Linked DNA regions of Elephas maximus indicus. The protein of the gene in region 2 binds, or shares a complex with, the protein of the main gene of each other region. Links are inferred from orthologs where the notes say so. Each region holds a gene or a part of one and is shown on either strand. Other genes may lie near its edges.

Evidence for each region.
Region 1: the proteins of PLEKHM2 (region 2) and ARL8B are in contact, whole or in part, in a crystal structure (PDB 8JCA), measured with the Homo sapiens proteins. The link is inferred for Elephas maximus indicus from reciprocal best matches to the Homo sapiens genes PLEKHM2 and ARL8B. Residues at the interface, in NP_055979.2 of Homo sapiens: His70, Phe71, Thr72, Arg73, Arg74, Glu75, Glu103, Ser105, Glu107, Ser108, Tyr109, Arg111, Leu112, Glu115, Glu147, Phe148; in NP_060654.1 of Homo sapiens: Glu22, Thr52, Val53, Gly54, Phe55, Asn56, Met57, Lys68, Trp70, Arg77, Phe78, Arg84, Tyr85, Arg87, Gly88, Val89.

Annotation. Positions count from the first base shown.
Region 1 is NC_064838.1:29,413,834-29,422,147, reverse strand, and holds the start of ARL8B (ADP-ribosylation factor-like protein 8B), read right to left. Parts: upstream 3,663-8,314; 5' UTR 3,450-3,662; coding exon 3,327-3,449; intron 1-3,326. UniProt on the Homo sapiens protein: Small GTPase which cycles between active GTP-bound and inactive GDP-bound states.
Region 2 is NC_064821.1:55,426,864-55,434,992, reverse strand, and holds the start of PLEKHM2 (pleckstrin homology domain-containing family M member 2), read right to left. Parts: upstream 3,397-8,129; 5' UTR 3,283-3,396; coding exon 3,223-3,282; intron 1-3,222. UniProt on the Homo sapiens protein: Plays a role in lysosomes movement and localization at the cell periphery acting as an effector of ARL8B.

The DNA.
Region 1 (8,314 bases), on a different chromosome or scaffold from region 2:
AGTTAACTTGCTCAGCTGCTAACAGAAATGTTAGAAGTTTCAGTCTACCCAGAGGTGCCCTGGAAGAAAGGCCTGCCGGTCTACTTCCAACGAATCACTGAAAACCAGCCATTAAAATTTTTTGGAGCACAGTTCTACTCTGACACACATGGGGTCTCCATGAGTAGGGACCAGCTCAGCAACTAGTTAACCATTTCAAAATTATACAATTTCTATAAAATTTACCTCATAATGTTTTGCCAAATCCTTTTAAATATTTCTTAAAACCAGCTACACTATAATCCATCTAACAGTCCCAGTTGAAAAGAAAGATTACCCAACATACATTACACATACAGGGGAGAAGACTTCTTACACAACAACTGTCACAATGCTTAGCAATAGTGACCAGGAATATTTCTTTTGTAAAATGTCCTAAAGAAAACACTACATATAGCGATTGTCTCTATATAAAATATTAGCTAAGATACGGTGTCATTTCAATTTTAAAACTACAACAATATACATTTTCTTAAGATTGAACCTCTCTGTAATGAAGCTGCCTAATCTTTTAAAATTGGTCCAAATTCTGCATATAAGTATTTCAGTCTCACAAACATTTTGAGTAAGGTAAATGACATCTATTAAATTTTTCTTAACTTTGAAGGAAGATCTAGCAACATTTTAATTTTTACAAAAACACAAATGGCTTCACCTGAAGCCTTTCATGCCTCCAAAGTTACTTGCTGAATTTGAATAAATGGCCAACTTCAGAAAATGACTTAGTGCTCAACAGAACTGCATTTCTCTGAGTCAACAGACCGAACACTTTATACAAACACGAAGAATAGTCAGGTTGTTTTGTTTTTTAAGGTAAGGCTAAATCTACTGTTCAGGACACACTGTGTCTGTCTAAAAGTCTATAAAATCATCTTTAATCACTAACCTTTTCCCCACTCTCAATATATTCTGAAAGAATCACAGATTAGATTAGAGTCAGAGGTTGAAAAGGAAAAAAAAGGTATGAAATTTACTGAGGTCTCCTTTTTTTTCCAGCATCTGAAAGGTCCCAGCTAGCTGCAGTCCAGATTTTTTTTAAGAGAACCTAACAAACTACTACAATTCAAACAGAATACAGCTTAATGTTAAAATACTGCGTAAGATTCGATGTGACTGCTTGCCATAATACACAAATCCACTACGGCAGCCCATGTTTGGATACTACGTAGATTCAAAGAAGGAAATAATCCCAGCTGAGACTCTCCTCAATAAATTTCAAACACTGTTTCTGCATTAAAGGACTGTACCCATTACAAATAATAACAGTTTCCATTTACCTAACCCCTTCTATGGGCAGGCATTGTGCTAGGAACTTGTATCTGTCATTCCATTTAATTCCCGGAGAAACACTGTAGGGAACATACTATTATCCCCATTTAACAGACAGGAGAGCACAGATTCAAAGGATATAAGGTTGCCAAGTGGCAGAGCCAGATTTCAAACCCGGAGTTGCCTAACTTCAAAGTTCACGCTCATTATGCACTATGTACTGAAAACATAGCATGGAAATCAACCAGAAGTTTCTCAAAGATTTACTCTTTTATGTTTCCCAATCATAACTATTTCTCTACCACAAATATAACCATTGTAGTAATACACCTATCTACAATACAAATTAATTCAATCTTACCAAAGGGACAGGATTTACAAAGTGACTCCAATTCTTATCTCAAGGGAATATCAGAAAATTTACGCTTAACTGAGCTCACTTCACTCAAGCTAAATAAAGCCTCATCTTTTCCACGTCATATAACAGTTCTAATATGGATACGTAGCCTAAAGTTTGCTTTCCCTCATTAATTTCAGTGGCATTAGATACACATTTCACACTCTTTTATACTTACTGAAAAGACACTCATTCAAACGGGGATGGGGGGAGGCGAGGGGAAAATAATATTACAATAAGACTCAACAAACATTTTCTCTATACTTATAGACTACATTCTGCAAAGGAAGTTTGCATTTCTGTTCATCTCTTTTTCTCCAATTCTTCTTACTCACTGCTTTTGCTCTATTACTGCAAAATTTAAGCTCACAAGTTACCTATTTTCTCCAACAAGAGAGCCATGTTTGAATCATTCCTGTAACCAAACCAGTCGGACAGCTAGTCTCCTGTTAAATAAGGATTACACAGTCATCTACAAAGTGGCAGAAGAATGCTGCCATCTCTCTTTAAAACTGTTCTAAAGCTCATCCCTGGCATGTAGAAGCCCCAATCAGCTAAGGTTGAGTCACACCAACTCCTGCGCTCTAAATAAAGCCTATTTCCCTCCCCCCCCCCCCCACCAAACAAATAAAACTTAAACTCATTCTTCCACTCAGTCATTTTTTAGTAAACACCACATTACAAACTCCCAGGGTCATCTCCCTCCTGGACACCCACTCCCTGAACCTGGAATAAGCTATGTTCCTGCCATTCCTTCTCTTTAAAAGTGAAACACCCTCAAAAGATAGCTCTTCTTTTTGCTGGCTTTATGCTGACTGCAAATCGACTTTATCTCCTTGCTCCTGAAAAGCAGGGGCCGCTAACTCCTTAGCTTAATAAACACTGTGGACCACTGTGGACACGCGGGCGCTGTCCCTCCCCGGAAAGGACCAGTGAGCGCTGCCAGCAGCTAGATCTCGGCCCCCGGGGGGCAGAGGGTGGGAGGGGAACTAGGAAAAAGAAGTGATGAAGAGGGCGATTTAGAGAACTAGAAGGAAACGGCCGCCCACAGAATTCAAGAAGCCCACACCGGTCTCCTGCCATCCTCCTAAAGGGACTCTTCGTCCCAAGTGGCAACTTAAAGTTCAAATCTCAGCTCTCTCACAGAGCTAAGAGACTCGCCAAATCCCACCTTTCGGGGACAGTGGCAGGCTGGCGTGAACCCTTCGGCTGCCCCTACAAACCTAACCCAAGAGAAGCCCCAACCCCAAACACTTTAAAAAGCTAACACGCCCAATTTAACCCTTTCCAAGCCGCAACCGCGTGGAGGGCACAGCCCTTCGAGCACGACAGCTAAATCCAATTAACCCTCCAGCCGCCGAGCTGGGCGCTCCGGCTCTGCCGCCACAACGCGGGACGCTCCGCACGCTCACCCCTGGGGAGGTGACAGGTCGGGCTCGGCACCCCCGCCCCCACATGCCCCACGGCGCGGAGGGGAGCCCCACGGCGGGGAGGGGGGCCCCACCGCGCGGAGGGGGGCTCCACCGCGCGGAGGGGGGCCCCAACTCGCGGCCTTCGACGAGGCGCTGGGCTGGGCTCACGGGCGGCGGCGTCCCAGGCGGACACAGCGGCGGGCGCTCACCGCGATGACATTGACGAAGGTGGTCTTCCCCGAGTACTGCAGCCCCACGAGCGTCAGCTCCATCTCCTCCTTCCAGAAGAGCGAGCGGAACCAGTCCAGCAGGCGGGAGATGAGCGCCAGCATGATGGCGGCCGGGAGGGAAGACGGACGGGTGGGCAGGTGGGCGGCGGCGGCGGCGGCTGCGGCGGCTTCCACACGAGAGGGCCACGGCCCGGACCCCCCAACGGCTCCTCGGGGCCCCGGCACGACGCGGGCGGACACGGGCGGGCGGCGGCGGCCGGAGCCAGGAAGCCGAGAGAGTCATATGACTCGTCCTCCCCCACGGCCGTCCCCGCGCCGCCGCCGGCGTTCACGGCAAGAGCGGCGTGGCCCGCCGGCCCGGGACGCCCGCCGCCTGCACCGCCACCTGGTGGACCATTTCTGCAGCACACCACGCCGACGGGGCGCGTTGCAGCTCCCTTTCTACCGTCGCTCGTTTGCTGGTTCATCGTTGGATCATTCAACCTTCGTTCACACATTCATTCATTCATTCTACAATTGTTCATTGAGCCTCTACGCTGTGCAGGAAGACTTCAAGATTTTGGGGGATTTAGCACAAAGTAAAAATCCTTGTCATATGCAACTAGTGGTCTCTTCCTGCCAAGAGTAAAGGAGAGTGAAGAAAACCAAAGACTCAAGAGAGAAATCAGTACAAAGGACTAACAGACCCTATGCACTACAGCTTACACAACACCACTCCGAGACTAGAAGAACTAGATGGTGCCCAGCTACCACTACCAACCACTCTGATGGGGATCACAATACAGGGTTCAGGACAGAGTGGGAGAAAAATGTAGAACAAAAAATAGAATTCATGAAAAAGGCCAGCCTTGCTGGCCTGATAGAGACTGGAGGAACTCCCGAGACCATGGCCCTAAATTAACCTTCTGACTTGAACCTGTAGCCATTCCTGGAAACCACCTTCCAGCCAAGCAATAGGCCCATAAAATAAACAGTAACACCTGAAAAGAACCTGCCCATAGATCAATTATAGGAGACCAAAAGGGCAACATTTGACCAAAAGTAAAGATGACAAGGCAGGAAGGGGTAGGAAAAGCAAGTAAAAGGAAATGGGGAACCCAGGGCAGAAAAGGGGAGAGTGTTGACAAAGTGTGAGGATTGCAACCAATGTCATGGGACACTTCCTGTACAATTTGTTGAATGGGAAACAAATTTGCTCTGTAAACTTTCACCTAAAACACACAAACACACACACATATGAGAGAGAGATCACTATATGGTCTATAAAACATTATTAAAATCGGAATTACTTACAAACTGTAAAATAAAAATGACAAAAAAAAAAAAAAAACTTGTCCTGAATTGTTGGTAGTAGCAAAAGATGGGAAACCGCAAGTGTTTATCAGTCAAGAGCAGATTAAATAAACTATGGTATATCCCCAAAATGGAATATTATGTAGCTGTAAAAAAAAAAAAAAGAGAGAGAGAGAAAGTTTTCTGTGGATTTATATGGAATAATTTCCAGGAAATATTTTCAAGAGACAAAAAAGCAAGATGCTAACTATGTACATAGTATACTTTTGGCATAACATAGAAAGTGAGAATATATATATATATTCAAGGAGCCCTGATGGTTAAGCACTCAGCTGCTAACCCAAAGGTTGTCAGTTCCAACCCACCCAGCAGCTTCACAGGAGAAAGATTTGACAATTTCCTTGCATAAAGATTACAGCCAAGAAAACTCTATGGGACAGTTCTACGCCGTTACATGGAGTCTCTATGAGTCAAAATTGACTCAACAGCACCTAACAAAACATATATATGTTCTTTTACGTATATAAACATAAATATATTCATATATATGTGTTTATATTTGCATAAATAAGTACTAGAAGGATAAACAAAAGACTAACGAAAATAGTTTCCTATGTGGATGGGGGAATCAGATGGGCAAGGGGCAGGAATAGGAATGAGACTTCTCTGAACAATGTTTTATACCATTTTGATTTTTTAACCATGTAAATCAGCTGCTTGTTCAAAAATTTAATTTAATTAAAAAGTAAATAAAAATATCTTCAAGATTTTCAAATTAAAATCCCTGCTCTTGTGAAGCTTACATTGTAGCAGGGAAGACATACAATACAATAAATAAATAAATATAAGCTCTAACACAGGTAATAATGAGTACTCTAAAGGAAACGGAACAGGAGAAGGAGACAAAGAGGAAAGGAGTGGACCCTGTTCCACTTAGGGTCAGAGTAAACCCCTCAGAGAAGGTGGCCCTGGACGTGGAGACCTAGATGAGCTGAGGAAGAGAGATAGGCAGGCATGTGGTGGAAGGGTAAAGACCTGAAGGCAGAAGAAGCGTGGAATATTCTAGAAACAGAAAGACAGTATGGCTGGCACAGATTAGTAAGGCAGGGAGTGGGAAGAGATGAGGATGGAGAAAGAGGAAGGAACCAGATGAAGTAGAGCATGGTGTGATGGGAAGCCAGGAGAGTGATCTAATTTATGTTTGGAGAAGTTCCCTTTGGAGGCTCTGCGGTAAATTGACTGTGGGAGGACAAGAGCAGAAGCAGTGAAATGGCTCAGGAAACTACTGGTTTAAGGGAGTGATGGCAGCTCCTGGGACCACCTCTAGGAGGCACTTAGATGTCTGCTGTCTCAGAGGGACAAGTAAACAGATGAACAAGTGAAGAAATAAGTTCGTTTCAAAATAAGGAATTGGACATTCCTCAGCCTTCACAATCATTGTAGTTAACGTCACTTCTAAAATGCCTAGTTAATGGAAAAGCCATCCTCCCCTCCTAATTCTAGTTTCTCACTTAAAAAAAAAAGAACAAAAGAATTCATAAATTCATTTTTATCACAAAAGCACAATATATTGTTTATTAAAAAAAACAAACAATCCAGAGGTGTAATAAGGAAAGGGTAATAGTCTGTCTCCTTGTGTGCTCAGTCCCCCAGCTCTGAGGAAATGAATTTTAACAGCTTTTGTCAATCAACTGAACACTTATACATGTATATGGGGCAGGGAAGTTTCTCCTATATACAAAAGTAGGAACATTTTGTAGACATTTCTCTGTAGCTTCCTTTGTTCACTGAACTTACGGTTATTTATAGAAAAGAAAGGCGATTAATATTCAAAATTCTTCACTTTCTAATTATTTTGTTATTATCTATGCCCTTAAAGCTGTTTACAGGTGTCGTATCTGTAAGGTTGTCGTGGATTGAATTGTGTGTCCCCATAAAATACGCGTTGAATTCCAGGCCCCCGTACCTATGAATGGGACTCTGTTTGGAATTAAGGTTTTTCTTTTGTTATGTTAATCAGATCATGCCAGACACTTCTAATCTGTGTCTTATAAAAAGGGCAGAATAGACACAAAGACACACATATGCACAGGACAGACAGCAGGTAAAGATTATCCACAAGCAAAGGAACACCAACGATTGCCAGCAGACACCGGAGACTAGAAGACAGGCTCACAGACGGAGTCGACACTGCTGAGACCCGCATTTGGACTTTAAGCCTCCAGAACTGTGAGATTAATTCCTGTCCTTTAAAGCCACCCACTTGTGATATATTTTGTTTAGGGCAGCACTGGGTAACTAAGACAGTGGTGTAAATACTATATAAAGGAGAGTTATTAAGTATCTCCCCAATTCTGTATTCAGGGATGTCATGTTGTAGCTTGAAATTGGTCATGGTGTGAGTATTTACACTACAGAAATTGGCAAACACTAAATCAGGGCTCCCCAGAGAACAGGCTGTTAGACATTTAACAGCACACCGTTGATAATATCTAATTCATTGCGTTAAAATGAGGATTAAATAAAATAAAGTTAACTTAGATTAATGAAAGTGATGAAAAGCAGAAAGGTATATTTACTGAATACAGGCTACATAGGTAGATTGACTGTTTCTCCACCTATCAGCTATGTGAACTGTTTAACTTGCTTAACCTCTCTGTGCTTCCATTTCCTGAAGAGGGGGATAACATTGTTATCTGCCTCAAAGGGTTATTGTGAGGAGTAAATGAACGAGTCCACATACAGCTCTTATATTCTTGTCTGGCACAGTATTAACACATGGAGCCCTGGTGGCACAGTGCTTAAGAGCTCAGTTGCTGACCAAAAGGTTGGCAATTTGAATTACCAGCTGCTCCTTGGAAACCTGATAGGGCAGTTCTACTCTGTCCTATCGACTTGATGGCTCGGGTTTTTTAAATGTTAGTTGCTGTTTCTGGAGCAAAATGACTCTAGACAATTGGATAACAATTCAGATGCTTGGTTTCTCATTTGTAAAATACGAGTGAGGAGATCAGCTTTATTTGATATTTTCACTGATAAGGCATTTTCCACTGAAGTCAGTTCAATAGTGTACAAAGTCCTGTGGGTGCACTGTTCCCTTTGAACTTTGTCAAGAATTAGTCAAAAGGCTAGGAATCCAGGATCACACGCTCAAACACATGGACCCATTCACACGTCCTGTGTAAAAGTTAGGGCTCTGGGAAGGTAGATGGCGAAGACAGGGGCAAGAGATAAGACTGACCCACGTATTTGCTGTGTGGCTGTTTATATAAGAAAGGTAATGTTCTGTGCCATTGGAGCTGGACAAATCTTTGAAGAACATTCTAGTTTCACCTATGGGAAAATTGATTCACAGAGGGAGAGAGTATTACCGGGACAGGATTTAAAACTGTAATCTCCTTAGGAACAGGAACCATTTCTACTTAACTCAATAAAGTCGTTTTCAGTAAATGAGTCATTCAGCTTGGGGACCTGGAAATCTGGTCTCTCGGGCATCTCTTTGGTTACCTTTACACTTGTCGAAGGTGATAATAAAAAAAACCCAAACCTGTTGCCGTCGAGTCAATTCTGACTCACAGAGACCCTATACGACCGAGTAGAACTGCCCCATAGAGTTTCCAAGGAGCGCCTGATGGATTCAAACTGTAGACCTTTTGATTAGCAGCCGTAGCTCT
Region 2 (8,129 bases):
CTGTCCCATAGAGTTTCCAAGGAGCACCTGGCAGATTTGAACTGCTGACCTCTTGGTTAGCAGCCGTAGCACTTAACCACTAAGCCACCAGGGTTTCCCCATGGAAGCAGCAGTCAAGAAATCAAAGGATGCACTGCACTGGGCAAATCTGCTGGAAAATACCTCTTTAAAGTGTTAAAAAGGAAAGATGTCACCTTGAAGACTAAAGAGTGCCTGACCCAAGCCAGGGTGTTTTCAATTGCCTCATATGCATGTGAAAGCTGGATGATGAATAAATGAGGAAGACTGAAGAAGAGCTGACATCTGTGAATTGCGGTGTTGGAGAAGAATAATGAGTGTATCATGGACTGCCAAAAGAAGTACAGCCAGAATGCCCCTCGGAAGCAAGGATGGCAAGACTTCATCTCACATACTTTGGACATGTTATCAGGAGGGATCAGTCCCTGGACAAAGACACCATGCTTCATAAAGCAGAAGGTCAGCAAAGAAGAAGAAGATCCTCAACGAGATGGACTGACCCAACGGCTACAATGGGCTCAAGCATAGCAACAATCGTCCAGATGGCGCAGGACTGGGCAGTGTTTCATTCTGCTGTACATAGGGTCACTGTGAGTCGGAACATTAGAAGCTGCTACTCTGACTCAGAAAAACAAATGAATTCCATGATGCAAGAATTATATCATAGTTCCCTGAAACACAGCAGACAAAGGAAGTGGCTAACAGGTCCAAATGATGTTGTAAAACCACCTTTAGGTGGCGAGGCACTTGAGACATTTTCAGACCCTGTCAAAGTCAGGAGTTGGTTCTGCCACAAACAAACAAAAAAGCTACCACTTATTAAGGCTGGGCCAGGCATCATGCTAAACACTCGGCATACATAATTTCACGTAATCCTCACAACAATCCTAACGATATCCCTGCTTTATCGATAAGGAAACTGAGGCATGGAGAGGTTAAAGAACCTGCCCAAAGTTACAGGGTTATTAATGAGCAGGGCGGGGATTCAATCCAAGCAGTCATACTCCAGAATTCATGTCCTTAACACTGATGCTAGTCATGCCTTTGGTTATGAAGTAACCAGGAATAGGCTTCCAGTTTCTAGTGTGCAATTATATTTTTGAGGTGCATTATACTCGCTGTCGTCAAGTCGATTCCGACTCAAAGCAACCCTATAGGGCAGAGTAGAACTGCCCCATAGAGTTTCCAAGGAGCACTTGGTGGATTTGAACTGCCGACCTTTTGGTTAGCAGCCATAGCACTTAACCACTATGCCACCAAGGTTTCCATTACAGCTCAATAAAACGTGTTTGTCCAAACACAGGCAATTGTAAGTATTTTGACAAATACACTCAACTCTTTCAATTGTGGTGTTGGCGAAGAATGTCAAATATACCACGGACTGCCAAAAGAACGAACAAATCTGTCTTGGAACAAGTACAACCAGAATGCTCCTTAGAAGTAAGGATGGTGAGACTGCATCTTACATACTTTGGACATGTTGTCAGGAGGGATCAGTCCCTGGAGAAGGACATCATGCTTGGCAGAGTACAGGGTCAGCGGAAAAGAGAAAGACCCTCAACGAGGTGGATTGACACAGTGGCTGCAACAATGAGCTCAAGCATAACAATGATTGTAAGGATGGCTCAGGATTGGGCAGTGTTGCGTTCTGCTGTGCATAGGGTCGCTATGAGTCGGAACCAACTCGACAGCACCTAACAACAACAACAACTTTCATAAGTGAGAGCCTGATTTGAAGTATGGGTCTCTGCTTTCAAAAGATCTGTGTTTACACAGGGGACAGAGTATCTATGCTCGCCACCTCTTCACTGGGGACTTTCTCCATCCATTTGTTTCAAATCCAAAGACAAGATGCAAAGACAGGTCAACCTGTCTGAAGCCACAATCAGCCCAGATTAGATTAGAAAGGTCAGCAGTCTTCCTTTCTCTTCCATTATGACAGTTGTATTGCTTTTTAACAAAGCACTTGCTTATCCTGCGCTCCTGGAGTAAGCAAAAACTATATCCTATTGCATGAGCAAACCTCAGGAAAACTAAATAAACAAAACTCTTGTTGGATCTTTGCAAGGGTCCCTTTAGCTGTGCTTTTAGAAGAATGTTTTAGTAAGAACATTTTGGATCTACTTTTCTTTTTAAGGTACAATTATCTCCATGAAACGTAAAATTGCTTGCCTATGTTATTTTTGAGGAATTTAAGTGGGGACAAAGAACAATTATTTAAATATAATGGTGAGAATTAATTTTCTTCACTTTGGTTTGCTGAAGTAGTAAAACACAAGCTATGAGTCTTTTTTCCACCTCTAAATCATTTTTTCAACATTCTTTATCTGACTCTCAATTCTGGTTTGGCCATTTGAGTTGTAAGTGAATATGAATTCTATCTTCTAGCATGAGATTGTTTCAGATAAGCTCACTTCATCAGGAATACAGTTACATGCCCTGAGATGTAATCGTTGCTACCTGGATTTGGGGAAATGATCTCTACTGCAGCTGGCCCCACAGGGCCAAGTGTCTGTGGTGTCACCAAGCTCCATGGATCACCATCCAAAATGCAATTCCCAAGTACCTCGGCTTCTCAAACAAAGTTCTGAAACAAGCCTCTTCAAAACTGCCATCCTTGAGCAAGATTATTCAGGGAACTTCTCAGGATCAAAGGCAATGTCTCCAGAACACAGAGCTGGGAGAACTGTTAGTTGCCTATCAACCTGCCTTCATCCTGTCAGCCACCTTTAGAGATGAACCCGGAGGAAATCCGGAGATGCAGTGGATTCCGCCCCGGGATGCGCTGACAGTTGAGGTCCTCCTAGGAGCTTTTCTGGAGATGCTGCTGGTTGAGTGGGGGGCACTGGTGGGTTACCCGCTCCTCTCCTCTAAGGCAGGGGCCCCGGGCCTGGCTTTTGAAGGAGCTGAGGATGCTGACCTTAACTTTGTTCTTTAAAAACAGCTCGGAGACCGCGGCGCTCACGTGAGTGGCCTGCTTCCCCTCAGGCCCGAGGCTCCCGGCGGCTCCTCGCCCCCAGGGTCGCGGAAGGGAAGGGCAGTGTCCCCGAGCCCCGCTGACAGACGGGACCCCCGGCCCGGGCACAGACTGGGAGGGAAGAAGGGGCGCTGAATGCGGTCGGGAGCCCGGGCAGGGCGGGCCAGCCTGGGACCTGGGGCCTGGGACGGAGAACAGGCCACGGCGGGCGCCGCGGCCGCGCTCACCTTCTTCACTGACAGCGAGATGTTCTCCAGGATCCGGTCCTTCACCTCTCGCGGCTCCATGGCGCCGCCGCCGCCCCGCCGCCTCTTCCCGCGCCGGGGGCCCGGGGCCGCCGCCAACCGCTGCCGCCGGCCGTGCGGGGACTCCGTCGTGCCGGCCGCGGGGCCCGGCGCCCGCCGCCCGGCCCTTGCCTCGCCCGGCCCCTCGCTCCGCCGTGGCCCGGCGGCTCCGGAGCGCGGCCGGCGGAGAAGGAGGCCGCGGGCTGTGCGCGGCGGCGGCGGCGGCAGGAACTGATGTCAGGCGGGGCGGCGCCAAGACCGGCGGTCGCGTCTGGGACGCCCGCGCAGCGCCCGCGCCCAGGCGACTCCGGGGACTTTGAGACCCCCTACCACTCGGGTCCCCCGCCCCTGCCGGCCAGGACCCTGGAGACTCCCTACGGCCCTCCAGCCCTCAGACCAGACGCTCGGCTTCCCGGCCCTCCTCGAACCAGAGACCTCGGAGAAACCTTCAGCTCACAGATGGTGCTCTCAACCCAGATACCCGGCCGGATGCCCCCCTAAACCCATAGACCCTAGCCTCCCGGCCCTCCTCAACTTAGACACCTTGGAGACTCCCTCGGTCCACAGACTGCAGCCCCCAAGCCCAGAACCCCCCAGGCCATGCCACCTCAGAGATTCCCTTGAAATCGCAGCCTCCCAGTCTCATCAGCCCAGAAATCCAGGCCCTGGAGCTTTCACCGACCTGGAGACCCAGAACCTGGCCATTTCCTGCTGAAAGAACCGGGCCTTGGCCTTAAGCAGCTCAGAGACCCTAGCACCCCCACCCAGCCCTGACTACAGACTCCAGCCCTCCGGCTTTCCCGGCCCCCGCTCCCCGCCGCCCTCGCCAGCCTCTGCACTCCACAATTCCTCACTCTCACTGCCCAGTCCTAAACGTTTAGGCCACCTCAGGTCTTCGGTATCCCTCTCTACCTCCAAAACATACCCTCTTCACTTCCGCCCTCGGTCCAAACACCACTTCCTACTCCTACCTTTACCCCACTTCAGCATCACATACCTGAGGTCCTCAACTACCTCAGCCTTGGAAATCCACCATTCCAACTCCCCTTATTTCCACACACACCTCTCCTCAAATTCGTCATCTCTTAAATCCCCTACATTTGGAGTTCTCTGTCTCCTGCCTGGCTTATTTATTTGGTTCCCAAATATATTCCTGATACACCCTTTAGTCCTCCCTTTTTATTCCTTGGCACCCCAACTCTCAACTCCTCATGTCCTCCCTTTCCTCTGCTCAGGCTACCCCATCCCTGAATCTCCCAGACACAGTCACAGTGCATTTGAAACACTGATTCTACAGCTCATCCAAGATGGACCCCACTCACACACACCTGAAACATTCCTCCCCATCCCTCAGTTTTGTTTTTATGTGACTGGATAAGGGGACAAAATAACCTCAGGAAAAGGAAAGAGAACAATTATTTGAAAAGCTGAGATTGATGCCTTCTATTACCACCTCAGGACCTAGGGCAAGAGTTCTTAATAATGATGATGACAATAATAAGTGTTGAGTATTAACTATGTGCCACACACTGAATAAAATGCTTCACATACATTTATCTCATGTACTCCTTATACAACTATTCTCATACAGATAAAGAAAATGAGGACCGGGGATGAGAGGCTAAATCATTTGCCTAAAATCATATAACAAGTAGTGGAGCCAAGATACCAGATACCACCCCAGAAAATCCTACTCCAGAAACCATTTGTATCCTTTTCTGGCCTAGGGACTCCCTTGCATTTTTTGTATACTATTCTAGGAGGTGCCCCTTATAGGGATTTGGTCTCACCATTTAGGAGAAGCAGCAAGGTCTCTGTAGCAATGAAACCTAGTACCCAGGGCATTTTCTTATTTATACTGAGTTCAGGAAAGTAAGAGACTACCTTTGTGGGGTTGCCATGGTCAGAATTGGCTCAACGGCAATGGGTTTGGTATGTGTGTGTAGCTAGGCAGAGGGTAAACTAAGAACAAGGGGATCCAGGCTGCAGTCACTGGACAGGTAGAGAAAAGGCTGAGGGAAGTGGACCAGTTTGAATGAGGAAAGAAATGGCCAGATGTCCAAAGGTGTTTGTGCTAAGTAGGAGGAAAGCCGGCTTGAATGACTAGTCTGATAACTTTGGTGCACTTCCTTCCCACTCCACCCAAGCCAGGGTGCTTACAGGCCCCAACCTGCCTGACATGGCCCCATCTCATGAGAATCTATTCTGCCCAAATCTGAACCAAAGAACTTGGTGATCCTTCTCTGCTGTGGAGTAGCAAGCCATCTTCTGCTGAGTGCCATCTACTGCTGGGAACCATCTTCCTACACATGGCTGCTCGTGACTCAGACATATGGCAGGTTCAACAGGTGTTGTTATTGCTTGGCTGTATATTTGGGTGTCTACCTGATCCACAGTGTAAGAAGACATGGTATCCCTGCCATATTGTTTTCAATTTCACCCATTGGGAGATGGTCACATTGAACTTTTTACAATGTTCAGGAGGCACATACAGTTTCACTGCCTATCAAATTTCTAAGGTTTGCATAGGTATGTGAGTGAGTGGCATAGATGTTTTAGTTCTAAGGAGACTTCTTGCAGGGGAGCGTAGGGGGCCAAGTGTGTGTTTTGATGTGCAGATAACTGCACCATGCCCACAGCTCAAATATGGAATCTATCCTGCCTGTCAAAAGCAGAGTGACCCTGAAAAGAAAAAACAAAAACAAAAACCAGGAAGCCTATCAATCCTTTTACTGGGAGTCGTTTAAACTCAAAATTGAAGCTCATTCATTTATTGCACAAGAATGTTGATCATGTGGAAAGTACATGAGACGCTGAGTCAAAGGGCATGAAGAGTCAAAAGCCTGAACTGACTCACACTTCACACTAGGGCCTCAGGCAAGTTACTCTGCCTTAGTTTCTAAATCAATGATGCAGGAAAAATGATTTTGTTCTTGGTTTTTGTTTTCTCCACAATATTGTCCTCACCTAAGTCTCATACTGCTGAACTCCATCAAATGAGGGAAGAAGTTGGAAAGGAAGGCAAGACCAGAGAAAGGGGCACCAGATCTCCTTTACTCTTTTTTCCAAATATTGTATACCGCCTCAGAGAGGAAAAAGGTAGGGAAAAATTCCAGTGGCATCATCCTGCCATACCCCTAAAAAGTCACTGGAGAGGATTGTTTTTTTTTAAAAAAAAAAAGTAGGGCATGGTTTAGGGACTAATATCCTCCCACCCCCACCCCAACTCAAGGAGAATATATTTGTTTCCAGAGGAGGGAGTAAATATTTCCTTGGTCATTGTGAAGTTGTTTGATCCCCATCTGAAGAGGCGATGATAGAAGGGTTGTACAAAACAGCAACGGCCCAGGTTCTCACACCTTAGCTCCAGCACCTAGAAGTGCAGATAATCTACAACTCTAAAAAAACTAGAACAAGACAGCTTTAATCTAGCTGATTTAAAAGTCTCCAACAGCTCCTGTCATCGCATTTGGAATAAAGTCTATACTCTTTTTCTGGCCTACAAGGCCATAGCTGATCTATCCAGCCTCCCTCTCTGACTCATCGTCTAGTCTCTCTGTTGGGTGTGTGCCAGTCCACAAGCTTTGTTCACATCTGAGGACCTTTGCTGGGAATGCTCTTCTTCAGTGTGCCTGAAACCTCTAACTGTTCACCAAAATCTACTGTCTCTTCCCACAGTGCTAGACTATACTTCCCAGCCTCCTTTGCAGCAGGCATGGCTATACGATTGAGTTCTCTCTATGATATGTGAACAGAAGTGAAGCTATTCATTTACAGGCTGGGCTTCTAAGTGAGTGGGTATTCCTTCTCCATATTTCTTCTTCCATCAACTGGGAAGAAGCAAAGAGGATGTCAGAGTTACAAGATGTAAAGAGCCCGGTTCCCTGAATCATTGCATGAAACAGCTGCTTGTCAAGTAGGAACACCTGCCTTGGACTATAAGATAGGTACGATATCAACTTTTGTTGTAATAAACCATTGACATTTTGGGAGCTCTTTGTTGTCAGCTTAGCCTAACCTAGTACATCCCAGATGCTCACCTGGAAGGAGCTTTCTCGTCACTCTGTTCTCAATTTAAATGTTACCTTCCCAGAGAGAACTTTCCCCACGATTACTCAACATTAAGTAGCCCCTAGTCCCTTCCGGCATGTCAATTTTCTAAATTTTCATCATAGAACTTATCACTTCATGGCATTTTCTTATTTATTGTCACTCTCCAAAAAGACTGCTATAATGTAATCTCCATGGGAATAGACTCCTTTGTTCAGCTCATTCAATGTATCTACAGCACCAACAGTGTCTGGCACATAGTACTCAATGTTTATTGAATGAATATCTTCAGATTAATTTTTAACTCATTTGGGATTCAGAGAATTTTTTAGCTGGCTCTAGAAGTAAATGGCAGGAGAAAGATGTGGCAGTCTGCTTCCATAAATATTTACAGCCTTGGAAACCCTATGGGGCAGCTCTACTCCTATAGGGTTTTGGCTTTTGTTTAGAAGTAAAAGGACAAAAAGAGATGTAAGGCTACTTCTCTTTGCACCTGATTTGGGCCTTTCCATTCTAGGGAGATAATGGAGGAGGAATTATGGTCAAAGTCTGTAGAACCATTAGCAGAGAGGTGCTGTTTGCCAATGTCCCAAATTAGCCTTATGTGTGAGTATAATAAAAAGTACTACTTCACATAGAAGCCTAAAACTTTTTTAGAATGCCATCTGTCTTTTAAAAACTACATTAAACTCTAAGTTAGCAGTCATCCTGGGCTAGAATCTCTAAACCTCAGTGATCTGGCTGGGTTTCAGGTACAGCTCTGCCACTCACTAGCTGTGTCGCCCCACTTATCATACAAC